Linked DNA regions of Alligator mississippiensis. The protein of the gene in region 2 purifies or fractionates together with the protein of the main gene of each other region. This does not show direct contact. Links are inferred from orthologs where the notes say so. Each region holds a gene or a part of one and is shown on either strand. Other genes may lie near its edges.

Region 1 (9,745 bases), on a different chromosome or scaffold from region 2:
ATAATGAGCTATCTATAATTATATTTTTTACTTTTATCAGATACTGATCCTAAGCAATATGAAACATTAAGGAAAAACCAAGGCAAAATGCCTATTAAGATTTATTTTTACTATACAAAAATTCATTTAATGTGAAGAAAGCTCAAAATTTTACTCGTAGTAAAATACTGTACCTAAACAGACTAACAGAAATACAGTTAATTCAGCATGCTACCTTTAACACGGCTATAAGGCAAGAAGCACTAACAAAATTTTGCTAAGGAGATAACTAGATAATTTTATGCCACTGCTTTTGCTTGAGAAGATCTTTTAAAATGTGCATGGATTCAAAGTTTGTGAAACAAGCACAAGAGTCAACTGCCAATTAAATTATTAGAAAGGATCCTCTACAAGAGAAAATGAAACAGAAGAAAAGGAAAAGGGGATACAGAGTTTACTTGAGCATTTTGAAGGCTGTGCATCCACAGCTGTGTTCAGATAATACACCAATGCTCAAGGGAAGAAAAACAAGTGATTTCATAAAATTAGACATTGCACCAATGAAGAGTTATTTAAGATTCTGCTTTTAGTTTAAACCATTGAAAATCACCAGATTCCCCATTTTCATTTTTGTGCATATACATGTAGACACATGCAAGAATATTAAAACTAGCCAAAAACAACAAAAATCCCTTCAGACAACACCCCCCTTGCTAAGTCCATTAAAATTGTTTATATGTATGCTACATTGAACATAGTACTAGCTAATTTTGTGATGGCTCATGCTAAATGCTATCATTCGCATATGAATCTGTAGGACACTACAAAATAATTTGTTTAAAAATTGTGTTATTTTATAGGAGCCTTTGAAATTAATCAAAGTAAATGGAAATATTACAATGTATAAACTCAAAAGTGTTTGAGAGGGAAGGATTTCTTGGGGTGATATCCTTCATTGCATTAACTATGTAGTTGAAAAAGTTGAGACAAGCTTTCAAATGCAACACAAATGTCATAGGCACAGAGATCCCACAAACATCTTACATGCAAAAGCTTGTCTAACTTTATCCCAGCTACGTTTGGTCTAACGAAAGATGTCATGGTCAGAAATCTTTGCCTCTTGAACACTTTTGTGCTGTTACAAAGTAATATTTCCAATTACGTAGGTTAATTTCAAAGGGATCTGCTGTCAAAGGTTGCTACAAAAGGACAAAATTCTCAAATTGTTTTATAGCATCCAACAAGCTCCTACACAAATGACCATGTTTACAAATGTCTTACATTCAAAATCCTGTCTAACTTTATCCCAGTGACACAGTTGGTCCAATGAAAGATACCACCCTAAGAAATTATGCGTCTGGCATAACACATTATGCCTGTGGCATCACTTCTGGACCATCACAGCTATAATATCACTCTTACCCTACCACAAGTGTTAACATTTATTTAAAATGAAGCCAACATGCATAAACGCAACGCGTAATGGCAACAAGGTAGTCAGCTGAGAAGCTGCAAGTGGAAGCAAACAAACTGCCGCAGGCTGTGCTGCGTTTCAGTCCTTCTAGCCAAGCAGAAAACAAGCAGACAGCCCAGAAGAGGAGGATTTTGAGGAGCTCATGCTGAAGACAACTAAGCACGGGCCTGCTTCTGCCAACACCAGCTCGGCTTTACCACCAGGAACAGTTCAGCTGCTTTCCAACAGACGCGCTCCCGCCAGCCCAGCACAGCCCGTGCCAGTCTCTTCTCTCCAGTTTAGGCCCCGAACCTGAAGCGACTGCGGCAAGACGCCCATCACGAGAGGGGAAAGCCTCGGGAACCGGCCTGGGGAAGCCAGGCCTTTCTGCTCTTCGGCTGTCTTAGCAGAGGGGAAAGAAAGCAGCAGTGGAGCCAGGGTCCAGAGTCCCCCCACCCCAGCTTAATACTACCCGCAATTTCCACCAGGATCCCTGCAACCTCTGCTGTCCTAATGCAGCCGCAGCCCCAGACCCAGCCCCGCGCGAGGGAGAACAAGGCAGGAGCGCCGGAGCCGTCTCGGGCGCTGGAAGCCCCTGTCCCAGCCCCCGGGGAAGAGGCAGTCGAACCCGCTGGGAAGGCTGCTGGAAAAGCTGCAGCGGGGCTTCCCCTCCTCGTCCCGCCCCTACCCCGGCGGGGACCCGCTCTCCATGGCGGGCAGCGCCGCCGCAGCCCGAGCCCGCTCCGCTGCCGGCCCGGAGCAGACCACGCGACCACCACTGACCACGTCCCCCTGCAGCTCCCCCCCGAGCGGCGGTGGTACAGCCGCCAGGGGCGGCTCCGGGCACGCGCAGGACCCCCGTGCTCCCCACGCCCGCCAATGGCATCGCCCCGCGGCACCGGGAAAGGCGGGGCGTGATGACACGCGGGGCGGCTCCGAACGCGCTCCCACCGGCCAGCCCCGCGTGCGGCCCCTTTAAGACGCCGCTCGGCGTTGTTAGGCAACCAGGTTACAACAGAAACCGTTGCTGGGGCCTGCGACAGCCCTCCCCGTCGCCCCCGCGAGACGCAGGCCCCCCGCCTCCCCAACGCCCCGTACCCAGAGCCCGGCGGCCCTGGGGCAGACCGCGCCGCCACCTCACCGGGGGAAGGGACGCAGGGGCCGCCGCGGCGACACTCAGCGGCTCCGCGCGAGCTCACAGACGCAAGCTCCGGCCGCCGCGCGCCTCGCTTCCCGCCTCGCCGGCCGCGGGCACTGACGGCGGGAGCGGCCCGCAGCGCCCCCTGCCGCCTGGGAGCCCCGCGCCGCAGCCTGAGCCGGACGCCAGCCCTCCCACGAGCCCCCAGGTCCGCACACGGGTAGTGCCCCCGCTCCCACGCCGGGATCCCCAACACGCCCCAGCCCGACTGTGTGAGACCCCCCCCCCCTTCCCTGCGCGCACTGCCGGATCGGATCCCCGCGCACCTGGCCGCCCAGCCGCAGGCCGGGCTCACACCCCCGCTGGCTTTAACGTAGGAAAGTCCTGCAAAGTCAGGAAGAAAAGTGTTTTTTAAAAAAAGCAGGGAGATCATCTGGTGTCGCGTTTCTCTGGTGGCTTCCTATTAGGTCACCCCTCTCTAGCCCAGGATGGAGGCCTAGAATCGCAGACTGGAGCAGCAAAATCACAACAATGACACTGCTAGTCACAGAGTGTTTTTAAGTCACTGTTTTCCATCCTAGGAGCGCTGTTACAAAAGTCATTTGCTGGGGCAGCAGACATGCACATCCATCCAGGAGCCTAACCTTGTTAAGTGTTCCCTTCAGAACAGCCTGCGCTTCTCTCATGGACGTTTTTCTAGCAAATATTGCTTCCATGTTTCTTGGCAGATGGAGGAGACTCCCCTCAACCTTCTCCCCCTTTTGTCCAGTGTTGTGTCTCTTCTTATCTCAGGGGCCCAACACATTACAAATAGGATGCAGGAACAATGTAATGTGAATGTCACAGATAAATACGCCTGAGGAAGGCTGTGGCGCCTAAAAGCTTTCAGAGAAAGATCATTTTGTTGCGATTTCGTAGTTGGTCTAATAAAAGGTCACCTCTCAACCAAAAGTTCTAGAGTTTTGCATTTCTTTTTGTCTCAGACCAATGCAGCTACCAAATACATCCCTGAAACATGGAAGATGCTGAATTTTAGCTAATTTTGTATTTAAGGTTCATTGCTAAACAACAAGAAAGATTTCTACAGCTCCCTGCCTGCCATCTGGCAGCACCAGGGAAGGAATCCTGCCTGATCTGCACATCAAAGAGCAACTCAAAAGACACTCAGAGGAACAGACTTCCACCTTCCGTTTCCTCTGTGCAAAAGTAAAGTTTATTTTCTACCTACGGGGACTTTTTACCATCATTAATTTTCCCTGAGCCTGAGGAAGGGCATGTGTGCCCAACAGCTTGCAGAAAAAAGAATTTTTTTTGGTTTTTTTGCAATTTCTTAGTTGGTCTAATAAAAAGTATCATCTCTGAGCCAAGAGTTCTAGAGTTTTGCATTTCATAGATAAATATACAAAATCCAACTGACGCTCCTCCTCCCTTGTTGTTTTACAGCTGTAGGTCCTGGCCTACCGACTGAATCTCTCCAGGTGAAACCCGTAGGGAGCAAGACATCCACCAGCTCCCAAGTGGGTACAGTTGTGAGGCTGGGGCCTCATGTAGGGGCACTGTAGGCTCCTGCTCCTGTGTACCTCAGACTTGCTCACACCTCACTGACTTCATCCCGGCACACGGTTCCACCCCAAGGGATCCCATGACAGGGCCCACCCAGAAATGACATGGTCTTTACCTAAAAAGCCTTTTATTTCGATGCGATACAGTCCTGAATCCTAGAAAATTAGGATTGGAAGGCACCTCAGGAGGTCATCTAGTCTAAATCCCTGCTTAGAGCACGACCGTCCCCAACTACATTATCCCAGCCATTGGTAATGTGTAGCAGGTCCACATGGGTGCATGCGCACCCCCTGAGATTGGTGGCTGCTGCTGACACTGCTGGCGGCATCTGTGGGCAGTCGCAACTCAGCACTCGCCACCCCCACACCTGGCCGCCGACACTGCTGTGTCCGCCTGCGGGCGGTCCCCGCTCACTGCTGCCATGCCCCTGCCGCTGCCTGTGGGAAGTGGCCATGCTCCCCACCAGCCTCAGGAGGCAGGAGGCATTCATGATCCCAACCAAGGCTTTGATGAGCTGGGCCTTAAATCCTCCAAGGATGGAGGTGGCACCACCACCTCTCTAGGTGACCTGTCCCAGTGCTTCACCACCCTGAAGAAAGTTTTCCCTAATATCCAAATTAAATGTGCACGAGCAGAGCAGTAAAAGATGGTGATGACATGCATATTAAAGGAAGAATTTAAATTAGGATCTCCATCCCACAAAGCAAGTGTGCATTCCCGTGGTCTGCCTGCAGCACAAAAGCCTTGGGCTCGGCTACCGTCCTCTGTGCCAGGGGGAGCCCGCCAAAGTCCTACAGGGTGGTCAGGGGCTGCGCTCGAGGCCCAGAGCTGGGACCAGAAGGATCAGGGTCAGGAAATGTAAGCTCAGAAGCAGCTCCAGTAGTGCGGCGGAGCGAGGGCGTTAGACAGATCCTCGCCGCGCTGACTAGGGTGATTTAGTGGGCGCTGGTCCTGCTCCTAGCAGGGGGCTGGCCTAGACAGACCCCCGAGGTCCCCCCAGCCCCGTCCTCTCGCCGCCGGCACTCCCGCGGTGCCCCGGCGGGCTCGCTAGGGGGCGCGCGCAAGAGCCAGTGTCAGGCCCTGCGGCCCGTACCATTCCGCGTCCCCCCCCCCCCCCGCGCCCGGTAGCCATTTTCCACTTTCTCCGCCGCGCCGCGTCCTGCCCCCTTACCCCCGGGCCGCGGTGGTGGGCGCGGCGGCCGCTCGGGCATGGCGACGGCCGGGGGTGCTGGCGGCGGCGCGTCAGGGAGCGGCGGCGGGATGGCGCAGAAGACGTGGGAGCTGGCGAACAACATGCAGGAGGCGCAGAGCATCGACGAGATCTACAAGTACGACCGCAAGCAGCAGCAGGAGATCCTGGCGGCCAAGCCCTGGACCAAGGAGTGAGCGCGGGGCCGGGGGTGGGGGCTGGGCCTGGGCTGCCCCGCTCGGGGGGCGGCGGAGGCCCCTGGCCGGGCCGGGCCAGGCTAGGCTGAGGTGAGCTGAGCTGGGCGGGCCGGTCGCGTGCCGTTGCAGCCACCACTACTTCAAGTACTGCAAGATCTCGGCGCTGGCGCTGCTGAAGATGGTGATGCACGCACGCTCGGGCGGCAACCTGGAGGTGATGGGGCTGATGCTGGGCAAGGTGGACGGCGAGACCATGATCATTATGGACAGCTTCGCCCTGCCCGTGGAGGGCACTGAGACGCGTGTCAACGCGCAGGCGGCTGCCTACGAGTACATGGCGGCCTACATCGAGAACGCCAAGCAGGTGCGGGCCCATGCGGGGTAGGGTTGCCAGGCCTCCAGGGTTAGAGAAACATTTCCAGGAGACTGCTGAGAGTTACCTGGGAGATAAATGATAGGACATTTGTTAAAATAAATGTTAAATGTTGGATCTGATTTATACGGTAGTCTAGTGGGTTTTTAAAATGTAATAGTAATGTGCATTTGTTTTCCCAACGTAAAGTCATTAATATCATTATATCATGTGATGAAACCTCCCAGAATAGATTCAAACAGTTGGCAGCCCTAGCACAGGTCCCTGCTTGGTCCAGGCACCTCACACCTGCCTCACGTGTTGTTTCTTATCGGGGAAGAGGAGAGGGGTTGATGCTCCTTCCTGCTTGAGTTCAAACCGACTCCCCTTGGCACTGCCCCCCGCAGCACAGAGTGGGGTTTCAGCAGCAGGGAAGGGTAAGGGAGCAGGTTTCTTCCCAAATTGGCCGTACCTGCATTGTGCAGACCTGAATTTTGACATTTAAAAACAAAGAGCAGAAACATCTCACAGATGCAGCACGCTTTCTCCCCTCCTCACCCCTCATTTCCTAAATCCCTCTGGAAATGCGCTTTATTCTGTAACCACACCTAAACCCTTTGCAAAAGGTGAAAAAAGGAGGAGTATGTGGTGGTCAGTGCTGCTTCAGGGTAACTCTAATTTGTGAAGGTTTACTATGCAAAATGCTTGGGGTGGGAAGAAAGGAGTGATAATTGTGAAATGCCCCCCTCCATCCCTAAAAATGTCATGAATTTTTATGTAGGCCCTGATCCTGCACTGGACTCTGCACAGGCAGACAGGACTGGGCCTTTAATGTCTGGTAGATTCACAAAGGAAATTGACAGACAAGGTTCCTTGGGTGAATTTGATATCTTTTATTAGACCAAAGGAAATTGATACACTTATGCATCTCCTGTTACTTGATTGATGGTCCTGTACAGCAGAATGAGCAAGAGGGACATTCTGAAATTTTAAGGCCCATTCTGCCTTGAGTTACCATTGCTGAATAGTACCATTGCTTTTCTATGGCTAACCATCTCTCTCTGCTCTAATTGGACAGATGTTAACCTCTGCAGGATTCAGCTGAAGTCAGTGGACTCCCCTCTAGTGTCAGAAACCAACCAGGCAAAGATAGCAAGATCAAGGAATTATTAATCCTAATCACATTTGCACTCTGACTGTTTAGTTATAGATGTCAGTGCAGATTTTGAATCGGGATGAATTATAACATGAGAAAAGACCAAACACAGTAGAAGTTGGTTTTGTTAAAAGATATAGACTTGTTTTGCTTATTAGGGCTGTTTTGGTCCTTTGTCCTGATTTAAGCAGGTGATTTTGAATTTTCTCTTAATACAGTTATATCCACAATATATGGAAAAATACCTGAGATGTACTAGTATAATGCTATAATATTTCACTAGGTTGAAGTTATAAACGCTAATTTGAAAATGGTAGTGTTGGAGTGAGGTTGTAGTTATTATGGTCCAGGAAATGAGAGATTCCAACTGTGTCCCTGACCCAAAGAAGGATGTCATGCATTTGGAAGCTTGTTTAAATCTATCCTAACTGTGCAGTTGGTCCAGTAAAAGAGAGATCACCCACAAAAATCCTTGCTTTGTGCTTTCATTTGAAAATCATATTTCCATCTCAAAATTAGTACCTACTCTTCAGTTATAATAATTTTAGGGATAACTTGTGACAGTGTTTCCCAGAACGTGTTTTGCCCTGTTTCTGTTTTGTGCACATTTGCATAGAATCATTTTTCCCATTTTGTTGATCACTTTTGTTGTCTCATGCATTAGCACAATGACTTCATCCTTGTACAGTGCTCTAGTGAGCGTTCACATTCTGACTTTTTCACAGGCCTTGAGAGAAGAATTATTGCCAGTAACAGAATGTTAAATTGTTTATTTTGTTAATACTAGGTAGCAAGTTGTTGGTGTTCTGTTAAGTGAACATTTTGGAAATGACTTCGATTTTGGTTCATCGTTTTTTGTGCACAGGAATGAAAATGCACAAAAAAGTGTTAGTGTTCTGTTTCTAGCTGTTCAACACGTAAACATTAAAAAAAAAAAGTTCTTTTATTTTAAGCCTTTAGACTTTTACCTTCTGCAAAAGTCATTTGTTTAGCATCCATTGACTTCATTAGATACAGCATCTTATCTCTTGCATGTTCTGTCTTCCATTATTGTTTTAAGGATTTTTAATTGCTTGTTATGGTGTACATTTGACAAAATTGATTGCATGGTATGAATCCAAAAGATTATATCTTAGATGATGTATGGAGGAGCAAAGTAGCTGATGATTGCCAAGTATCAAGATATACCTTTCATTGTAGTCATGAGCTGTACTACGACTTTCTTAAAAAATATATTGCAAAATAAGGCTCAAGTTTTTTACTGACAATTCTACACCAAGTTTAAAGAAACAGTAAGTAGATACGTTACAGGGAAGGAAAAATATCTGCAGTATGTGAAAAGTCCAAAAGAGGGCAGCTGAAACTTTAATTTTATGTGGAGACGTTAACAATACACCTTCTTTTCCTTCACGTTTGTTAGGTTGGTCGTCTAGAAAATGCAATTGGCTGGTATCACAGTCACCCTGGCTATGGCTGCTGGCTTTCAGGGATTGATGTCAGTACTCAGATGCTTAATCAGCAATTTCAGGAACCTTTTGTAGCAGTGGTTGTAAGTATTAGATGTTAACTGAGCACTTGGTAAACTGATAACATGATGCAATAATTAGACTTCATTTATGTTTATGTTGAGTTTTCTTACTGTCAGCTAACCTGCTAATGCTATCTTACTTTGTTTTATGGAGGGATAATATTCAAGCTTCAGTTCGGTATTTTCCCTTGTCGAGTTTTTTGGCTATCTGCATGGCCAAGATGATGGTAAAAAACAGCTGTTTCATTGGTCTTAACATTTGCTGTATGCTTTATAAACTGGAGATGTGGCTTCCCTCCTTTTGACCCAATAGCCTTATGACTAGGGCATCTATCTAGGGACTTGGAGATTCATGTTCTAGGCTCTCCGCAGCCAAGGGATGGGATTTAGATCTACATCTCACACTTCCCACAAAGGTGTAGGATAAACAGGGCTAAGAGCATCTTGCTATCCTACTTCTTGAAGCTTGGTCTGTTGGGCAGCCAAGAGGGGCGATTTGTGAAGCCACAAAGAAGGCAAGCCGGGAGGAGCCTACATTTTCATAGATTCATAGATGTTAGGGTCGGAAGGGACCTCAATAGATCATCAAGTCCGACCCCCTGCATAAGCAGGAAAGAGTGCTGGGTCTAGATGACCCCAGCTAGATACTCATCTAACCTCCTCTTGAAGACCCCCAGGGTAGGGGAGAGCACCACCTCCCTTGGGAGCCCGTTCCAGACCTTGGCCACTCGAACTGTGAAGAAGTTCTTCCTAATGTCCAGTCTAAATCTGCTCTCTGCTAGCTTGTGGCCATTGTTTCTTGTAACCCCCGGGGGCGCCTTGGTGAATAAATCCTCACCAATTCCCTTCTGTGCCCCCGTGATGAACTTATAGGCAGCCACAAGGTTGCCTCTCAACCTTCTCTTGCGGAGGCTGAAAAGGTCCAGTTTCTCTAGTCTCTCCTCGTAGGGCTTGGTCTGCAGGCCCTTGACCATACGAGTTGCCCTTCTCTGGACCCTCTCCAGGTTATCCGCATCCTTCTTGAAGTGTGGCGCCCAGAATTGCACGCAGTACTCCAACTGCGGTCTGACCAGCGCCCTATAGAGGGGAAGTATCGCCTCCCTGGACCTATTCGTCATGCATCTGCTGATGCACGATAAAGTGCCATTGGCTTTTCTGATGGCTTCGTCACACTGCCGGCTCATGTTCCT
Region 2 (9,811 bases):
ACCCAACACCCAATCCTTCTTTATATTGTGTATCACAACATCGTGGTAAACACACTCAGCAAACTTTAGATCAGGTCAGCAGAAGCTTGGTTTGTTAAAGAATGCATTCTGGACAGACTCATACACAACTGGAGAACTGTGAAGAGGTCTGACCTTGTACAACAGGTGAGGCGAGTTCATATAGAAAATATGACATCATAAGCATAGCAACAACATATACCAATCAGCATTTGTCATGACTTTGTTAGTAAAGCGCATGTCTTATGTTATGATTATGTTAGCAAAAATTTTACTATCTCTTGTCTAACTTGTAACTTAGGGTTCAGTTCCCATTTTGGGCTGACTCAGCAGGCTGGTTTGTGGTTACTTTTGTGCTAAGCTTTTGTTTTTTTACTAGACCAGGGCAGGATGGTCCCCATTTTGTGTTAGTCTGGCAGTTTTGGGTCATGCCCTTTTGACTTCCTCATAGCCAAGCTGGGTATATGTTTTTTTATTTATTCTTACATATAATGGAGATTCAACTCCATTTTTCCCTTCTTCCACAACAATAAAATGCAATGTAAGATTTAAGGAGACCAGATTCAAGTTCATAAGAGACACGGGTAACAGAAGAGACTGGAGCCAATCAGAAATACTAGTAGCCAGGGAGCCAGGTCATGCAACCTTCCTGTATTTATCAATCACATTCTCCTTATTGGAAAAGCCATCAATATGGATTTTATTCACATGACAAAGCTCCCTAAAGTCTGAAGAGGTCTAAAGCAAAAGTTTAATCATAGTTTCCATAGGTCAGTAAATGAACTGGTTAAAGAATTAATTTCTCTCATTAAACTAACTGCATAGTAGCTTGAATGTGAAAGACCTATAGCCTGTCTCCCTAGAGTGCATTTCTAGTAGGACTTTTTTCATTCTGAACAAATTGGGAGACAGAATTTCAATTAGTGCCATTAAAAATCAATTAGTCTATAGGCTAATGCATCTTATGGACTTAGTAATCTTCCCTTTCTAAATTCCATCTCAAAATTCTTAGGTAACAAAATGCAATTGTATATCACCTTAATAACTATTTTCTCTCCTTTACATTATTAACATATTTGTAGAAAGTGGTTCTCTCATGTCCCTCAGTCATCACATACTTTCACGACATGCATTTCGCTCCATTAAGGCCTTTTCCTGTGAGGTGAGGCTCTTCGCTCTCTCAGAAGTCAGTCCATCTAGTCATTTTTATTGCTTCTTGTAGTCATTTTTCCCCTAAATAGTTTGTACTTTGCCTCAATATTTCTGCACAGCTGTAACTGATTGGAATTCAGTCACTAATTCTACTGATGATGTTCAAGAATTAACAGAATCCTGCTTATTCCCTCTGAGCTGCTCTGGTTCTCTAACAGTAGCCAAAGCCAGCAAGGTACAACCTGAATACACACAGGGAATAGCTCTATTAAGTAAGGTATTATTCTTAGATTTTCCTTTTCCAAAAGGAAACTTTGCCCTAAATTAATGCTGCATGATTATTTTTTAACTGAGGCTCTGCGTGCTGCCCCAACATATGTTAAAAATATACCACTAGATAAGATGGAGGCTGTTTACTTTAGAGGAGAAAAATAAGAGACAGTGATACTAAGTAATTATTAATATGAGAGTACTAAATCAAACCATTCATTCATTCTCTCTCGTAATACAAAGACAAGGAGTCATCCCCTGGACTCTGAAGTGAGAAGACTTAAAATGGATAAAAATATTTTTAATACAATATACTATTTGTCCATGGAACGCATTACCATGAGGTATCATAGAAGCCAAGAGCTTCAAATGACCTTGACATTTATACAGATCAAGATATGGTTACAATAGCAAAAAAAAAATTTTAAATTCTACAAGGACTAAATAACTTCTACAGGAGAGGAGTTAGGATGAAAGAGTCCCTGTAAGCAGGTTAAATCCATAACTGTACTAAATCGCATCATTTTCTCTAAAGCAACTTAATGTCAATAAATGAACCGCTAGTCTGATCTAATATGGCAAGTCATATGTTCTGGCAGGGACCAGATTTTGTCCTGGTATAATATATCCGAGTCTCTCAAGAACCATCTTTAGTTTAAATTTTAAGTCATTTTTCAAATTTACTTATCATTCAAACATTAAATGAATCCTATTTTATTGTTTGTAATCATGTATCAAATAAGGTATATACAGAGTTCTCTTGGTGGTTTTTTTTTTACTTACTCTTTGCTAACATCTGAAAACAGATGAGGACTGGACTGGAAAGTGACCCAGTGTTACTGTATTTAGCAATTACCTCGGATGAAATGTTACGGCTATGGTACAACAATACCTTTATTATGTTCTCAGAAACATTGCTCGTTTGTTAGTTGCAGACACAGCACTGCTTTCTTGCGTGTTATTCCACTTTCAAAAAAAAATAGTCCTTCAAAAAGAAATAAAAGGGGTAATAATTACTAATCTGTGTTGAACAATAAATCCTGAAACAGGGAGAAAAGACACAACTGTCCTCAAATATAGTCAAAACACAAGCTCTCTTTTCCCAAATTTCTAACCCCAGACCAATGCCCTGTCTGCTACCTGGCGAAAAAAGATCCGTTTCTCGGAAAGCGGGTGCTGACCCAGATAGGGAGCCGGGCAGAGGAAGAGATCTTGGTGCCACAGGTGAGAGAAGGGTATCCCGGACTTCCCTGCAGGATCCTGGCAGGTGGAGGAGGAGCGGATCATCTATGACCTCCCAGGAAGATCCAGCTGCCAGAAGGGGGAATGGGTTCTGGTGAAGATAATTATGTTTTATAGCATTTATTAATGGTTAATGCAGTATCAAGCCATAGACTGGATAAAGATGGATCTAATTGATATATTATTTTATCTGGTTTGAATAGAAAAGACATGCATAAGTTTTATCTTCATAGAGCTAATTGCTAGAGAAAGAAAATGTATGTGTGTAGAAATCTCTTTTCTACTAAAGCCAGTGGGAGTTTTACACTAATTTCAGTGAAAAATACAGGATTGAACGATCATTCATGCCATTTTTCCAAGCACAATGACTTAGATAATTGTAACACTGTAAAAATAACTAGAAACTAATACTTAACATAATGAAAGTTTTATAAATATCATCATTTATTCAAATACTAAAAAAATGTACAGCTAGGAATAGTGATTAATATAAGGAGTAGAGGCCCTCTACCAAACAACTTTTGCACTCTTAACTCCCAGGATCAGATTCTAAATTATAAATGATTTAAAACCTTTAGAGAACTTGAAGAGAAGCAAAACACTGAAATGCAAACTGATGAAGGCTGAGCTATTAAACTAAAAAAGATTAAGGATAATACAAGCAAATACACTTTACCGTTCTTATTACATTACTTGTAATTTTGCATTCATCCACTCATCCTGTTCTAAATTCAGCAGAGAACAAAATTGAAAATACACTGCACCTGGAGAAAGCATTCATAAGTTATTTTTCTGCACATCAGTGCAGTTCAGTGTCATGTCTCAAGAGCCCTCGCTATTGCTCAAACAGAAAACATATTCCAAAAAAAGCTTCAGTAAAATGACTTTATGTCTCTATGAGCCACAATTTCTGTCAAGACAAGTTAACACAGGGTTTCCTATCAAGATACAGCTGCCAGCAATCTCCCCTGAAAGAGCTCTGCTGTCAAAAAGGCAGGTGGAAGCTCCCATCAGCAGTCCTTTGAGAATTCCTGCACCAACCGACTTCAATAACGCCAACAGCTTGTTTTGTTCCTTTGCCCATAGATAACTGTGAGTCCTTATTGAAGCGGAACAGCGTACTTGTGCGATTCTTTTTGTGATGATAAAAATACACAAGCGTCACAAAAAGGTGTTTAAAAGGGATCTATAATTCCCCTCCTCCCGACACAAACCGTTCCGATTCAGAACTCCAAAAAAGCCAGTCTTATTTTGACTAATGTTTGCTCAGTTTCAGCCTAATGCAAATATTGCAAACCTCTCAAAAATAACCTAGCTGATATTTGCTAGGGGAAAACAAAAACTCTTCCCTTCCAAGAAGGAAGCACGTTCCAGACTTCAGTCAGGGTTTCAGAGCAGGTTCAACATCCCCGTTTAAATAACTCACTAGTTTCTGTGCATTAGTTTCTTTTTGAAGGAGCGAGCAGGCTAATGATGAAAGAACAAACCGAGGACCCCAGAAATCTAGTCTCTGGGGGACAACAGGTGCAAGAGGTATATCAGTCTTAAAGCACGTAAAACAGGGTGCTCAACCTCCAGCCTACGGGCCAAACGCAGCCCATGGAGCTGGGGCATCCGGCCTGTGGGGCCCCCCACACTCCCTCCCTGTGGCTGGATTGGGAGCCAGGCCAAGAGCGGGCCCACATGCTGTATCGGGCTCACAGGCTGGATCCAGCCCATGGCCTGAGCCCCAGCCATCCAGCCCAAGGGGGGGGAAGGCGGGGCACCACTGCTGGAAGACAGGCAGGGGCAGAGAGAGCAGGTCGCTGTGTTAGCCTGGCATCAGGCAGAAGGCAGGCAGTCCTGCTCCTCTGAGACGTCTGTAGACAGGAGAGCACCTGCTGTCCTGACCTCAAGGTGAGCAGATGCCCATGAACTTGGGCTCAGGCAGCTTATGCTCCCCGTCTCTCTAAACCAGTGTTTCCCAACCAGCGGGCCGCGGCACAAAAGTGTGCCGTCAGAAACGAACAGGTGTGCCACAGGCTGTTGCCACGGCAACAAGCCACAATAGATGTAAGGATAGGGAATGCCTTAACAGGTGTTCCACGGGAAAGTTTTATTAATATAAGCGTGCCTTGAGCTGGAAAAGGTTGGGAAACACTGCTCTAGACACCCAGGGTGCTGAGCTCACCTACACGAGGGCAGCCCCCCACCTTCCGCCTCTGCGACGTGCAGGGTTAAACCACCACCGCCGCGCTCCGCCATAAACGAGGCGGCGCGTGGAAGGGCTGCAACAGCGCTGCCCCGGCTTAAATAGGAAGCGGTCGTATTGGAAGCACCAAATTACTGTATTTGCTGAAAAATAATTGCATGCTAAAAAAAAAAAAAAATAGGCACACAAGTTTTACTTGACGTTGCTCAGCCGTAACTCCAGCGAGCGAGCGAGCGAGCGAGACCAGGGTCACCCAAGCTGAAGTGCTTCTTTCTTTCATAAGAAAGCGCTGGCAGCAAACCCAGGAGGAGGCTCAGGCTCCGGCTCCTCTCTCGCTTGCTCCCAGGGCCTTACGGCTGAGGGCAAGCAGAGCTCGGGGGCATCCGGACCCCAACGGGCCCGCACGTGGGACGCCCGCCAAAGCTTTTGGAAACATCGGAAGCCCCAGGTGCGGGTGGAGGATATTTGCCAGGCGCAGGGCCACTTATGGGTCTGGACTCATGGAGTTGGAATTAGTTTTGGCTAATTTGGCCTCGGCTACAAATTAAATTTAAAAAAATAAATAAAAAAGAAACCCCAGGGTGCCTGTCGCGCCGCACTAAGCAGCTGCGTCCAACAGCGCGGCTCTGCTCGTGCCAGGGAGGCAACACCGGGCGCCCCGCCCCCTCCAGGGAGACCCACCCCTCCCTGGCTACGGAAACCCGCGGGGCTCAACCCGGAGCCGCCCCAAGCCCCGCCCCCACACGCGGAGGGGCCGTGGCCACGCCCCCCACCGCCCGACGTGCGCACGCCGCAGCGCGGGGCACAACGAGCCGTCCCGGCGCCCGGCGCGAGCCGCCGGCACCATGATCACTTCCGGTGGGTCAGAGGGGAGCGGAAGGGGGGGCCGCAGGAGGCGGCGGCGAGCGGGGCCGGGCGGCGCGGGGCCCCGCGGGGGGTGGGGAGCGGGCGGGAGGGCGGCTGCTGCGCTTCTCCTGGCCCGAGCTGGGGCAGGCGAGCCCTCCGCCGCCGCCGCCGCTCCGGGTGGGGGAGCGCTTCCGGGCCGCGGTGTCCCGGCATGCCCCGCGGCCGGATGTGCCGCCATCTTTAGGGCCCCTCTCTGCCTTGTATTGACAATAACAAGTCCCGATCCGGTCCCCCCTCCCGGACAGAGCAGGAGGCAGAGAGGGGGGAGGAGGGAGAGAGGCGAGAGCAGGCTGGAGAGCGCCGGCTGGGGCGGGGGGCAGCCGGCAGCGTCCACGGGCGCCTTCCCTGCGGAGAAAGGGGCAGGAGACGGAGGCGGAGAGGGCAGCAGTTAGGAGCCCCCCGCGACGGCTGAGGCTGGGCCTGGACAGGAGGGTTGGGAGGCGCTAGCGGGCGGAGAGAGACGGGGAGAGCGAGGCCCTGCGAGAGGAGTGGGGGCAGGAGGCTGCCAGCGACTACTGAGCGGAGACAAAGGAGCAGGGGGAAGGGGGCGAGAGGCCGTCAGGGGCTCCCCTGAGAAGGAAGGAAGCCGACGAGACGGGAGACCGGACGACCCGACATCCCGGGGGAGAGAGAGAGAGAGGAGCTGAGAGACTCTTGATCCGGCAGCCCCGAAACGGACTCGGACTCTCTCTCTTGGTCTGTCCTACCACCAGGATTTGATGCCCCTCAGCCTGCTCACCTCTGTGTGTTCATGTTTCCCACAGGTTTCTCTTCCCCCAACCCCCCAGCAGCAGCTCAGGAGGTCAGACCTGCCACTGATGGTAGTAGCAGCAGCAGCAGCTCCTCCTCCTCCTGCAAGAAGAGAAAGTTAAACAGCAGCAGCAACAACTCGGAGAGAGAAGAGTTTGATTCCCTTTCCTCCTGCTCCTCCTCTCCTTCCAAAAACAGCTCCTCATCCTCATCTTCCTCCATCATCACCACCTCTTCCTGCTCCTCCTCAGGGGGTGCCTCCACCAACCATCACCTACAGAAGAAGCTGCGCTTTGAGGACTCCTTGGATTTTATTGGACTCGATGTGAAGATGGCTGAAGAGTCTTCCTCTTCCTCTTCTCCCGCCGCCTCTTCTCAGCAGCAGCACCAGCAGCAGCTCAAAAATAAAAGCCTTTTAATTTCTTCAGTGGCCGTTGGGCACCATGCGAATGGTCTGACCAAAGCTGCCTCCTCTACTGTTTCCAGTTTCGCCAATAGTAAACCTGGCTCTGCCAAGAAGTTAGTGATCAAGAACTTTAAAGGTAACAGGCCATAATGTGAAGAGTTGACACACTGCTTGTATTTTATGTCTATATGACAGCTATCCACTGGGCTTGTAAATAGGTATAAGTTCTACTGGAAATATTCTTTGGTGGTGACCCCCCGAGCGCGTGTAGAAAAAGGGGAAAGTCATCTTTTTTTATAGTATGGGATTTATGACACTGCATACGCACTTGGAGATTTATGTCACTTAGGATTGTTTTTTGGACGCTCTCAGTGTACCTGTGAAGGACAGACTTTGTTGTGGGCATTTAAGAAACGTCTTCTGGTGTGAGGTTGTTTTTTAATTGCCTTTATTCAGAATGGCCGTATTTGATATTGCCTTTGAAGTAATCCTGACTCAAGTCACAACAGTAATTTAGTCCAGGTCATCTAATAGCTCATAGCACAGGGTAGCCACTTGAAAATAGCCTCTTCTGCCTGGTGTCTTTCCATTTGTTAAGTTTGAAATTAATTTAGATTTTAAAATGATTATTGATATTTAATGCTTGAGCACTTTGTGGATTGACGCTGAGCATCCTGCTACACATTTTCCTGGCATTATCTGTGACCCATTACTTTTATGTCTTCTCTTCTTCACCTATCTTGACTCTTTTTTCTTTTCTTTCCTTTTCCATTTTTCCCCCTCTTTATTCTGCCTCCTCCCCCCCCCCCAAAAAAAAAGGGGGGGGGGTACCTGCTGATCTTCCTGCATGAGTTTGGGTTGTTGAATGAGGCCAGGAAGTGTTGTGACTGAGCAGATACCAAAGCTTTGGATACCATGTTGCTTGAACCTGAGCTACTCCGTTTAATAGCTACTTTATGGTTTACTTCCTGGAGTAGGCAGGGAACATGCATAGCTTTTGAGCTGCTGTCTGTTATTTATGTCAAAACTTGGGCAAATCCAGGGTTCATGTAGTTCTCTTCGCTGCTTCTCTCTGACACTTTGCACTAATTCAGAAGCTTCCTTCCCTATTCCATTTCCTTTATTCATGTTGAAAAATACTGATTTACATAACTTTTTTTTTTTTTAATCCTAAGTAATGCTAGTATTTTATTGGTATTTGAGGCAGGGAGGGGGGAGTCTGGTAACTCCACTGTTCCAGTATGTTGTAAGGTATCTATAACGAGCCCCAATTTATATGGGGCTTGTTATAGATACCCTACAACATACATGGATTAGATTGTAACGCTGGTTTTCCCAGTGACATGAGGAAGTGTTCTTCCACTTACCCTACTGCCACATGCATTCCTTATTCACTTGCAGACTCAGAATATTAGATTAAGGCATGATCCTGAGAAACTGACTTTCAACCATGGCTTTCTTATCTAAAGTAGTGAAATTTAGGCAGTGGCTTTTTACAACTTTTTTTAATTGCTGTGGATTTTAGTTGCCTATTATGAACTGCCATGTTGGCTCCCACCTGGCAAACTAGTATATATAAAATGTATCAGTTTTGTGACTGCCCTTCTTCAGCCTTTCATGTTGAGGAAGTAAGTTTGACCTTATCTGAGATGCTAGTAATGTTTGATTTCTTTTTTTAAAACAATACCTTTTTCCAATTGACTGTTAAGTCTTAGGCAGACAAGATTATTCAGGTAAATATGATATCTTTTATTAGACCAACTGAATAACTGGAAAAATTGCTTTTTGCCAGTTTTTGGATATAAGCATCCCTTTCACTTCACTCAAACAGTAAAAAGTGAGCTGGTCTCATTTCTGGTTAGATTTGCTTTTGAGTTTAAGTTCTGGCATAATGATGGAATATCTCCAACACTGGAGAAAAATATTAATTAACAGCAAATATTAGTTTTACATTTTGATTTTATCCAAGGGGAAAAATGCAGAAAAGATTTGTCTTTAGAAGCTTGTTCACACTTGGCCTGATGAAGCTCTAGAAGTGACCGATATAACTTCCTCCCCAGCCTTCTTTCCCTTTCTTCCCCACCCTGCAGTGTTTTCACTGGAACAAAGATAATCACTTGAATTAGAATTTTGAAAATATAAGTATTTGTCAACTAGTTCCGTTTCTCCTATAGTTCCTGATAATTTTGAGACCTTAAGGTATCACCACAATCTTGCCTAAAAGACGTTGAGATCTTTGAGCATCCTCATCTATCTTGATCGATATTTTCCATAAGGATCTCTGTTAAACACTACAAAAGCAAATTTATATCATGGATTGTAAGTACTCTCTCTCTCTGCTGCATATCTAGTCCCTGCCAGTCTAAATTGCTGGTATTCATGGTAGAGTCCTTGAACTGTGCTGATTAATAGTAAATGACTAGATGTTTTTCTTTCTTTTTTTTGTAAGTTGATAGAGGAGCAAACATTACAAAGGCCTATATATGTACATGCAGTTGTTTTAGCTCCGAATATCAGTCATACAGTTGTCAAAGAACTAGCTTCATTTTGCCAGTCCTTGGTGTTTCTTTCCCATTCTGTTGGCTGGTGCTTCTATCTTAATAAAAAGTCAGTACTGATGAGAACAGACTAACACAATTTTATTTTCTGAGCTGCTAGATTTTAAGTACAGTTGGATTTGTAGATCACTATATGATGTCAGTGCTACAGCTGTTGTGGGACATAGGCACAACCGGGGAATTTGAAGCGTGTCTCGAGGCAAAAACTTAAAATGTTTTAGTTACTTAGTTTAAATAAGATGCTATTAAGATTTTTTTTTTTCATATATAAATTAAATGGAATTCCCTTTCAAACACTTGTCACTTATTCACATTTAT
Region 3 (10,035 bases), on a different chromosome or scaffold from region 2:
TGTTGGGGGGGGGGGGGGGGGTGCTGGCACAGTGCCGGCCAAGGGAACGTCGGCAAGATGAAACCATAAATCAAGCGCCGCAGGGCCTGGGTGTTTGTTTTGCTGTCACTCCCAGACAGAGGTGCCTGTAACGACAGTTGGCCACAGGCTGGGGACGAGGGCAGTGTGACAGCTTTGTGCAGCTGCAGGAGACCCCTCTCCCAGAGACCATCTAGGCATCCACAGTCCTACCTGGGCCCTCCCATGTCCTGCTCAATCCCCAACTGCATTAAGCAGGGGACAGCTCCTAACCTCTGGATAGTTCTGCATGCCAGTGAGAGGGACTGGGAGCCAGGACTCCTGGGTTCTGTCCCAGCTGTGGGGTGGAAGAGTGAGGACTGGTGAGTTAGTGCAAGGGGAGGCGGGTTAGGAGCCAGGAAGCATTCTCCCTCAGCTCTGGAAGAGGAGTGGGGGTCTGGTGTGCTGGACCAGAGAGGCCAGAAGCCAGAACTCCTGGGTTCTCTGCAGCTTGGGGGCAGTGGGGCCCAGTGGGCTGGCACAGGGTGTGCAAGTGTCTCTGTGTGCATTTGCTCCTTGCCAGTCTGCACCGACTGCTCGAGGCCCTGGGAGGAAGGTGACTTTGGGGTCCCCCGGGGGCTGCAGTGCTGGCAGCCCCTCCCCCGCACCACTCTGGAGAGCAACGTTCATTCCCAATTATGACATCAGCCTAATGGGGGCTGGGGCCACGCCTGGGAAAGGTGCAGACTTACTCCCAGCAGGGGGTGGCAGTGCGTGGTGACTCCCCCATGCCCCAGAGCTCTGCCGGACATGCATGCCCTGACCCCATGCCCCTCAGACAGCCTCTGGGGCAGGGCTCAGTCCTGTCCAAGGGGCCCCAATCCGCCCCCCTGGGTGGGGGCACTGGCTGGCTGCCTGTGCCATAGGCACTACTTGCCTGTGTGCCTGTCCATCCCCTCCCATACAGCTTCCTGTCTCTCCCATCCCAAGCCTATCCCGGCAATGATTCCCCCCCACACCACCACCACAGTCCTGCTCCAAGGTGATCTCGCGCCTGTCTCTTAATGAATAATAAATTGCCAGGAACTCAAGGACTCTGGTGTCACGTCCAGTTGGCAGGGTAACAGACCGGGAGGGGATAGGGAGAGGCCACAGCCCCCACCACAGGGCAACCCTCTCCAGCCACTGGGATGCGGTGTTCACCATGGGGTGGCCACTTCTCAGTGTCTCTGCACGGAGTGGGGCAAGGCAGGCCCTGTGGGGAGCTGTGTGGCAGGACTGAGACCCTGCAAACTCACCACAGCCAGGTAATGCACAGTGAGCTTTATGGTACCTGCTAGTGAAGGACCAACACCCCTTAGGGACAGGCCCTTGGCCCCTCCAACCCCCTGAGCCAGCCAGTGCCCCATGCTAAGGCTGGATGGGGTCCAGTGCCCCCCAAAAGGAAAATGCCCCCAACCCATGCCCCTGTCTCAGAGGCCACCTTGGCTCTAGGAAGCCCCCAGCCGGGGGTCTGACCTCTTGCAGAACTGTGTCTGCTGCCAGCCTGGCCCTGGGCACACGCGGTGGGTAATTACTTGTTCATTACCAGCCTAACAAGCTGAGCAGATGGTTAGGGAGAATCCATCACTGAGCACGGCTGCTGGGGAAGGCGACAAGCAGCCACCAGGCCAGGCAGGGGGAGAACCCAGGCAGCGGAGCTCCCAGCCACCTCCCAGACCCCACACCCTTCCATAAGCCAGGAGAGACCCCAGGTGTCCTGATTCCCAGCTCTAATGCACCAAACCCCACACCTGGGGAGAGAACCTGGGAACCCTGGTTCCCCACCCCCAACTCTGCCAGTGCTCCCAACTCCTAGCCTATAGCCTCCGGCCAGCCCAGCTCCTGGTCTGGGTTCACAATGCCCTCATCAGCCATGGGAGATTCCTGGGTTTTCAGGTTCTTCCCCAGCAGGGCAGAGACTCTTCAGGAGCTCAACCCACCCTGGGAGCAGGACAGGCCTGTGTGTGTTTAGTGTGTAGCCGCAGTGGGGAGCGCACAGGCCAGTTATACAGGGGCCCCATGCCCAACCCTGAGATGCAACTGGCTCTGGGGTGGAGCATGTTGGAACCTGCTTATACATGGCCCCTTCACCCAGTGCTGAAATGTGTCTGGCTCTGGGGCAGGGTGTGTCAGGAGTGTTCCCCTTACCCAGCATGGGAGGTGTCTCAGCACTGAGGTAGGAGCTGAGTGGTTTCTGGTCTCGGAGCTGGAGGAACACAGCGTCTTGCAGCCTCAAACTGTCAAGACAGAGCAGGGCCGACCAGGAGGGAGAGGTAGATTGGGGGGGGGGGGGGGCGGTGATGGGTGCTGGTGAGATGGGGATGCAATAGGTGTGGAGGGAGAGAGAAGGCTGAGAAGAAGGCAGGGGGGCGGAGGGCAGGATGACAGCTGGCAGAGCCAGACTGGATGGATGGATGGATGGATGGATGGATGGACGGATGGACGGACAGATGGACAGATGCAGGGGGGAGGCAGACAGGTAAGGAGTGAGCAGGAGATAAATGAGGAAGAGAGCAGGCTGGGGGGAGGGGGGAGGAATAACTGACAGATTCAGGGACAGGCGAGGTTTGGAGATGGATGGATGGATGGATGGATGGACGGATGGATGGATGGACGGACGGACGGACGGACGGACGGACGGACAGACGGACAGACGGACGGATGCAGGGATCAATGGACGGGCAGATGGATGGATGGGGCCATCTTGTACCAAAGGTAAAACCCCTGCAGGAAACTGGTCCCCCTGCCTTGTCCCCACCCCCTGCCCCAGCCTGTGCCCCTTCCCTGGGGCCGGATCGGGTCCAGCGCCCCCTGGAGGGGCCTGGCCATCTGCCTCATGTCCCAGGCAGGTGGTGCTTGTCTGTGTCTCTGCCTTTCACCTTCATTTCTTCTTCACTTGAATCTAGGCTGACACAACGCAGTCCCAGCCCCGCTGCCGGCAGCGATGCTTGGTTTAAGGCAAAGATTTGATCAGGAGTTACAACCCCAAGGGGTGTTTATGCTAAACACACTTCTGAAGCACGGCATGAAAGGGCAGTGGAGGGGCGTGAGCTGCGGGGCATGGGTGAGGGGCACTGCCAGGTCTGGTACCATTGTGGGCAGGGCTGCTTTGGGACCCCCCTGGGTCACACATAGGCTCCATTCCCAGACCCCACAGGCCTCTGCGCTGTTCCCCCAGAGCTCTGGCAGGGTAGGGGCTGCCCTTGCTTGACCGTGACCCCTGGGAGTGGAGCAGGTAGAGCAAGATGCTGATTCAACAGGGGGCTGGCAAGCACCAAGGACAGAGCTAGTGTTAGGGGCCCACTTGGGGACTGCAAAGAAAGCAGGTAACACATCCCCCACCACCCACCCCCTGTAGGGTCCAATTCCCCACCCTTCCCCCATTCCTGCATGTCGGTCAGTCATCCCTCGGGCAGTGCAGGGACATAACCCCAGGAGGAGACCTGATGCCCCCAGCCCCCTCCTCGTATTCTGCTGGGGGGCGGGGGGGGGGGGGCAGGAGGGGCCCAGGTCCCCAGACTGGTGCCAGGGGGCACCGTGCTGTAAGCACAGCTCAAGGAACCAGGCACAGCCATGGCAGGGAGCCTGGGCTGAGCCAGCAAGGGATGGGGATAGGATTGGGGGGGGAGCACAGGCAGGGCTGGGGGGGGGGGGGGGGCAATGCAAAAGTTTTGGTGTGGGGTTACCTTTGCCAGCCACCCCCATGTCTGCCTCTCCTTCCCCTGCAACTAGCCTCCTCCTCTGCCCTTCTCAGTTGCTCTCTGCCCCCCACAGAGCCGTCCATTTCAGCTGACCTGCCCTCACATAAGCCCAACAGATCAGCCTCCTCTCAGCCCCTCCCCAGAGAGCCCACAGACAGGCATCTCATTGAAGTCCTGCTAGGACCAGTGCACCCAGGAGGGAGATTGGGGGGTCTTCCAGCAGAGTGGCTCTTAGAAGGGACCCCAGGGCTGGCAATGCAGGGGTCCTCCGTAGGGGGTGCTGCCCCCTTTGCCTGGCAGGGGTAGCAGCAAGGTGAGGTTTCTTCACCTGTAGATGCCAGCCCTGGCAGGGCTGAGGGGTCTCTGTGGGCCCTGGCTGTGTGTGGGCTATGCATGAGCTCCAAAGACCTGCAGTCCGTGGAGACGGAACCGGCTGCTGCATTTAGCTGAACTCTCAGAGCTAAGGCTGGGGTTGGGGGGATGGAATAGGGTAGAGCTTGTTTATACAAGTTCAAGCTCCTGGGAGCCTGATGCCTTCATCCCCGCACTGCTGCAGACACCGCCAGCTTGGATACAAGGGCAGTGGCAGGGCTGGGGGGGGACCAGGCCTGGGGGAAGGGGCATGCTGAAGGAGTAGCCCCTTGGGAAGGCCCTCTCCTCTCCCAACTAGTGCCTCCCTGGGGCTGTCCAAAGGTCTTTCTGCCCTGCCAGGCCTTTCTGCCCTGCCCCAGCCCTGTGTTCCCTGTGCCCACCTGGGCACTGAGCTGCCCCTCCTCTGCCCAGACAGGGGCATTTGTGCATCACCAGCGACACCTGGTGGACAGTCCCTGCAATGACCACTCTCAGGTCATCCTGCAGCCCAGGACTCCCCCCAAACAGCCTCTTCTGCCAATCCAGTCCTCTGCCCCACCACCACCACCCCAGGACCCCCCCCCCCCCCCCCCGCCCAGCCCAGCTGACCCACAACCCCCTGATAGACCAGCACGAACAGAGCTCTGAGGTAAGGACTGGGGCAGGGGCCACAGCAAAGCGTGAGGCTGGGGGGATGGGGGGTGAGGGCTCATTAGAGGCACAGGGATCCCAGCAGGAGCACTCTCAGCAGGCAGCCCAGGGATGGGGGTGCCAGGGAGCTCAGCACGGGGTGCTTTGGAGAACACCCTGCTAGAGTGGCTCAGTGGGGGAGCAGTGGGAGCACTGCTGGGGGGGGTGTAGGCGGGGGAATCTGTCCTCAGGGGCCACTAGGAGGTGCTGTGCTGGGGGATTCAGCCTGGGTGCTGTGCTTGGGAGGGAGTCTGCAGGGAGCCTTATGCTGGGGGCATAGCAGGGGTCCCGGTGGAGGAAACTGTGCTGCATTGTTCCCAGCCCAGCTCAGCCCTGGCATGGAGGGAGCCTTTCCCTGGTGTTTCCCTGCCTTCTTGCAGGGCCCATAAATCCCTAAGTGAGAACGGCCCGAAGGCCTCCAGCTGCAGCCGCTGTGCTGTGAAATTCACTGTGCTCAGCCAAGCGCAGGGGTCGACCCCGTAATGGGGACTGGGTGCACGAGCCGTGAAGTGCCCGCTGCAGGGAGCCCATTGCTCACGTCACTTAGTGCTTGGCGGGGCTGGTGCAGGCTGCAGGGACTGGCAGGGTCTCAGGAGGGCGGGCAGCCAGGGATGCCCCCAGGCCCAGTCTTCTGGGTGCTGAGCTGCAGGGCAGGGGGCTCTGATGGGACCCTGTATTGGGCAGAGCACAGTATGGGCTGGTGGGGAGTCCAGCAGGGCAGGGAGGGGGCTCTGCCCACACTTTGGAAGGGGAAGTCAATAAATCCCCATCAGGTTGCTATGGAAACCAGAGGGGGCTGCAGGAGCCCTGGGAGAGCCTGGGATGCTGATGATGTCAACAGGGGCAGCAAAGGCACTTGGCCCCAAGTGATGACATCAAGCCCTGGGTTGACATCACCAGGCAACCCCCTCCCCATGAACCCAGCCCTGATGATGTCGCCCAGGAACCTTTTTATGTTACCCATTGCCTCCTGTTGCTACAGCAATGCCACTGACTTCTATTAATTGCTTCTTGGCAATGGTACCATTGAAACTTTCTTGTTGCTATGGCGATGACTAGAGGGCAGGAGAGGCTCCCTCTAATATGGTGGCTTTCCACGGAACCACACCTGCCCGTAGTAAAGATGGCGTCTAGGGATGCCTGAAGACTACATTTCCCAAAATGGCGCTCGGCCACCCTTTCCCGTAGTCAGGATGGCGGCCACTTCTCATTTCCCTTTTCAAAGATGGTGGCCCCACGGCCAAGCTTTTCTCCAGGGCCTCTGGCCAGTACCTATTTCAAAATGGCGGCAGAACAGACAGCTATTGCCCACTTGTAAGATGGCGGCCGCCCCTTTCCCAGTCCTATTCAAACACGCAAGCCGCGGTTGTCTGGTTCCATCCGCAACATGGCGGACGCTGCCCCTTCTCAAGATGGCGCCTCCGCGCCTTCCGGCATGAGGGCGGAAGTGGGGCAGACGACGCCTGCCCGGAAGTAGCGTTGACCTGTGCTGCGATGGCGGACCCAGCGTGGCTCAGCGACGACAATGGGGACGGCGACAGCAGCAGCACGGAGGAGATGGAGGGGGACGGCGAGCCGCAGGCGCCCGCGCAGCGCGTGTATGTGCCGGGCCGCGCGCCACCGCCGGGGCAGAGCGAGGAGCTGGTCATGGACGAAGAGGCCTATGTGCTCTACCAGCGCGCGGGCACCGGTACAGAGCGGGGCTAGGCACGAGCGGGCAGGGCCTGGGGGAGGGACTTATCACGTGGGGGCGGGGCCTGGGGAAAAGGGGCAGGACAGGGCCGAGGTCCTGGAGGTGAGGGGTTGAGGGTCAATGGGGCCCTAGGGCAGAGGGGGCAGAGCTGGTTGGGAGTCACGGCCCCAAGGCGGTGGGGCAGAGCTGGCCTCGGAGCTGACCCCATCTCTCCTTCCCTCCCATAGGTGCCCCTTGCCTGAGCTTTGACGTGGTGCGGGACACGCTGGGCGAGGGGCGTGACTGCTTCCCCCTGTCCCTACTGCTCTGTGCCGGCACACAGGCTGAGACCGCCCAGGCCAACAGGTCAGGCCCGGGGGTGTGGAGGAACCAGTGCCAGAATTGGCTCCAACCCACATACCCTCCTGCGCCCAGCCAGGGGGCAGGGGTTGGAGCTGGGATACTGGGCTGGGACTCAGCAGAACTTATTGCACATCCAGGGCACTGTGCATGGGGGAGGGGGTGAGGCCTGGATCAGGGGCAGCAGCCCCTGGAGACAATAGGCTGCCCACCCCATTTCCACTCTGTGCACCAGCCAGTGCTGCTGCCCCAGGGTTGGCCCAAGGTGGGAGCCACCTGGAAAAGAAAGGTCCCTGCCACCTCCCCACCCCTGGGAGTTGGTTGGCGACTGTGTTTCCTGGGTGTCTGTAGCCTCAGCAAGTCCCTCTCCTGTGGGCAGGCTGCTGGTGATGAAGATGCACAACCTTCATGGCACACGGAAGGTTGCCTCTGAGTCCGAAAGCAGTGAGAGTGAAGAAGAGGAGGAGGAGGATAAGAAACCCCAGCTGGAACTGGCCATGGTCCCCCACTATGGAGGCATCAACCGTGTCAGGGTATTGCTGACTCCCTACCCCACATGTGCCCTCCCTCTAGCTGTCCCAGCCACAGTTAACTCTTTTATTCTTGGCAGGTGACCTCACTGGGCAGCGCCCACATAGCGGCTGTGTGGTCTGAGAAGGGCCAAGTGGAAATCTATGACCTGAAGTGTCCCCTGGCGGCCCTGTCCGACCCACAGACCATGGTCACTTTTCTGCGGGAGGAGCAGGCAAAGATCAAGCCTCTCTTCTCCTTTGCAGGACATATGACTGAAGGGTTTGCCCTGGACTGGTCTCCTAAAGTGGCAGGTGAGCAGGGGCCACAGGTTGGGAGTGTGGAGCACTGGCAGAGCTGGGGAAACCCAGTGAGGGGCATCTACAGAGCTGTAGCCACCACCTCTTCTGTTTTTTAGGTCGTCTCCTCACAGGTGACTGCAACAAGAACATTCACTTATGGATGCCCAAGGAGGGTGGGACATGGCATGTGGACCAGCGCCCTTTCACTGCCCACATGGCCTCTGTAGAGGACCTGCAGTGGTCACCCACTGAAGCCACAGTAAGCAGGGACCTTAACCTAAAGCACTGGTGAGACCAGGGTGAACAGCCTGTGGGACTGAGCTGGGGCAGGATACTCAGTTAAATTGGCCTGGGGGCAGGGAAAGGAGTGGAAGACCAGGCTGGATGGTCCAGGGAGGTGGGCTATGCGGTGCCCCTCACTCCTTGCACTCTGCCTAGGTGTTTGCCTCATGTTCGGCCGACGCCTCAGTGCGAATCTGGGATGTGCGGGCAGCACCAAGCCAGGCCTGCATGCTGACAGCCAGCCAGGCCCATGACAGTGATGTCAACGTGATCAGCTGGAACCGCCACGAGCCTTTCATTGTCAGTGGCGGCGATGATGGCACCATCCGCATCTGGGACCTGCGCCAGTTCCAGGTCAGCATGGTGTCCCTCATTCCTGACCCGCAGCCCCATGCCAACCCAGCCCTGACCTTCCCCAAGCCTTGCCTCTCTCCTAACCCACAGACCACATCAGCCCAGCCCTGGCCTCCCCCTGCCTCTCTCACCCTCCCCCTCTTCCTTCTGCAGAAAGGCACCAGCGTGGCCACATTCAAGCAGCACACAGCACCTATCACCTCAGTGGAGTGGCACCCCACGGACAGTGGGGTGCTGGCAGCTGCAGGGGCTGACAACCAGGTGACACAATGGGATCTGGCTGTGGAGCGGGACCAAGAGGCTGAGGGGGAGAGTGATGACCCGGCCTTGGCCTTCATCCCCCCGCAGCTGCTATTCGTGCACCAGGGCGAGACCGACATCAAGGAACTGCACTGGCACCCGCAGTGCCCTGGTGTCCTCATCACTACCGCCCTATCCGGCTTCAACATCTTCCGCACCATCAGCGTGTAACCCTGGGGAGGGGCAGCTGGGGCACAGGGACAGCCCCACACAGCCTTGGGACTAGGCTGCCAGAGCCAGGGAATGGCCAAGTGCCCCTCCATCAGCACCGCGTTGCCTTCTCTCCCTCCCAGGACTGTTTTGGCTGCCGTTGCACAGGATACCTGCACACTCTCTCTTAAACCAGCATCCATGCTATGCATCCTCCTTCCCTTCCACCTTGCAGATGATGTCTCCCAGTTACAGGCTTCTACCATTGCACAGAAAAGGGATGTTGAGCAATTTGGGAGATCAGTGTTGTGTCCCCCCACCCCCACTTCCTTTTCTGTTGGTGCTGCTGGTAGATACTGTTACACAGAAGGTGGGGGGGTCTGTTTTTATAGTAGGTGTATAACACCCTCCTTGTCTTTTTCAGGTGCCAGTTGCTACCATTATCCAGAATGGAGTTGGGGTGGGAGGAGCAGGCATAACCACATACATTGGCTGGAAAGAAGGGGTGGAGGGGACTGTCTGGAGAGTCAGCAGCAGTTAGGAGTGTCTCTTCCCCACCCCCTTCTCTCTGCAGATGGAGTAGCCATGGATTGTATGAAGCAGCATCAGCGTCATCTCTCCTCCCCACTGGGCAGTGGTTACTACCATTGTGCAGAATAAGGGGACTAGCAAAACTGTCTAATTCCGCCCCCCTTGCTTATGGACTGTGCCAGCTTTCACAGCACTGAATGGGGGAATCCGCTAGCTCAGCTGGGAGTGGAAACTTGCATTCAGCATCAGGGAACCTTGTGTCCAACTGGAGCTGGGCTGCACCTTGTCCTGAAGAGCTGTGGCCTCGGTGATGCTGACCAGTAGTTTACCAACCATATATTGTACTTGGGTCATTCAGAGTGTGACAAGGGGGGGGGGGTGTGCAAATTCTCAGTTCCCTTCTTTATGCTGGGATCCTTCCAGATGGATCCTTCCAGACCTGGTAGCCACCACTCGTATGGGGGTGGGGACAAAACCTCTCTCTGGTTTCAGTTTTCCCATTTAAAGAGGGAACACAAATTTTATTCAAATTCCACCCCCACAGTAGTTGGGTTGCTCCAGAGCCGGTGAGAACAGGCACTACCACCTGCAGAGGGGGTGTGGGGAAGGCATCCTCTTCCTGGCAATCCCTTCTGTTCCCCAAGGAAGGAAGTTGGAATAGTCCAACTCCCTTCTTGGGTACTACCATTTTGCACTCCCTTGCAGGGAGTGGGGGACTTACTCCCTTGAATGATAGTAAGGGAAAGGCCCTGCCCCATGCCCATAGGGGGTACAAGCCCTAGGACAGGACACT

What was found. Proteins that work in one complex are often made in the same cells at the same time.
Region 1: the proteins of CUL4B (region 2) and COPS5 purify together in Homo sapiens (affinity purification with mass spectrometry; 12 studies listed by BioGRID and IntAct, counting the BioPlex papers as one, with this or other methods). This does not show direct contact. The link is inferred for Alligator mississippiensis from reciprocal best matches to the Homo sapiens genes CUL4B and COPS5.
Region 3: the proteins of CUL4B (region 2) and GRWD1 purify together in Homo sapiens (co-immunoprecipitation; 4 studies listed by BioGRID and IntAct, with this or other methods). This does not show direct contact. The link is inferred for Alligator mississippiensis from reciprocal best matches to the Homo sapiens genes CUL4B and GRWD1.

Annotation. Positions count from the first base shown.
Region 1 is NC_081826.1:63,773,530-63,783,274, forward strand, and holds the start of COPS5 (COP9 signalosome complex subunit 5), read left to right. Parts: upstream 1-5,265; 5' UTR 5,266-5,342; coding exon 5,343-5,515; intron 5,516-5,648; coding exon 5,649-5,883; intron 5,884-8,447; coding exon 8,448-8,576; intron 8,577-9,745. UniProt on the Homo sapiens protein: Probable protease subunit of the COP9 signalosome complex (CSN), a complex involved in various cellular and developmental processes.
Region 2 is NC_081831.1:72,375,052-72,384,862, forward strand, and holds the start of CUL4B (cullin-4B), read left to right. Parts: upstream 1-5,629; 5' UTR 5,630-5,718; coding exon 5,719-5,731; intron 5,732-6,543; coding exon 6,544-7,071; intron 7,072-9,811.
Region 3 is NC_081828.1:38,508,733-38,518,767, reverse strand, and holds the start of GRWD1 (glutamate-rich WD repeat-containing protein 1), read left to right. Parts: upstream 1-5,555; 5' UTR 5,556-6,275; coding exon 6,276-6,471; intron 6,472-6,701; coding exon 6,702-6,819; intron 6,820-7,192; coding exon 7,193-7,346; intron 7,347-7,423; coding exon 7,424-7,637; intron 7,638-7,741; coding exon 7,742-7,884; intron 7,885-8,063; coding exon 8,064-8,261; intron 8,262-8,414; coding exon 8,415-8,732; 3' UTR 8,733-10,035. UniProt on the Homo sapiens protein: Histone binding-protein that regulates chromatin dynamics and minichromosome maintenance (MCM) loading at replication origins, possibly by promoting chromatin openness.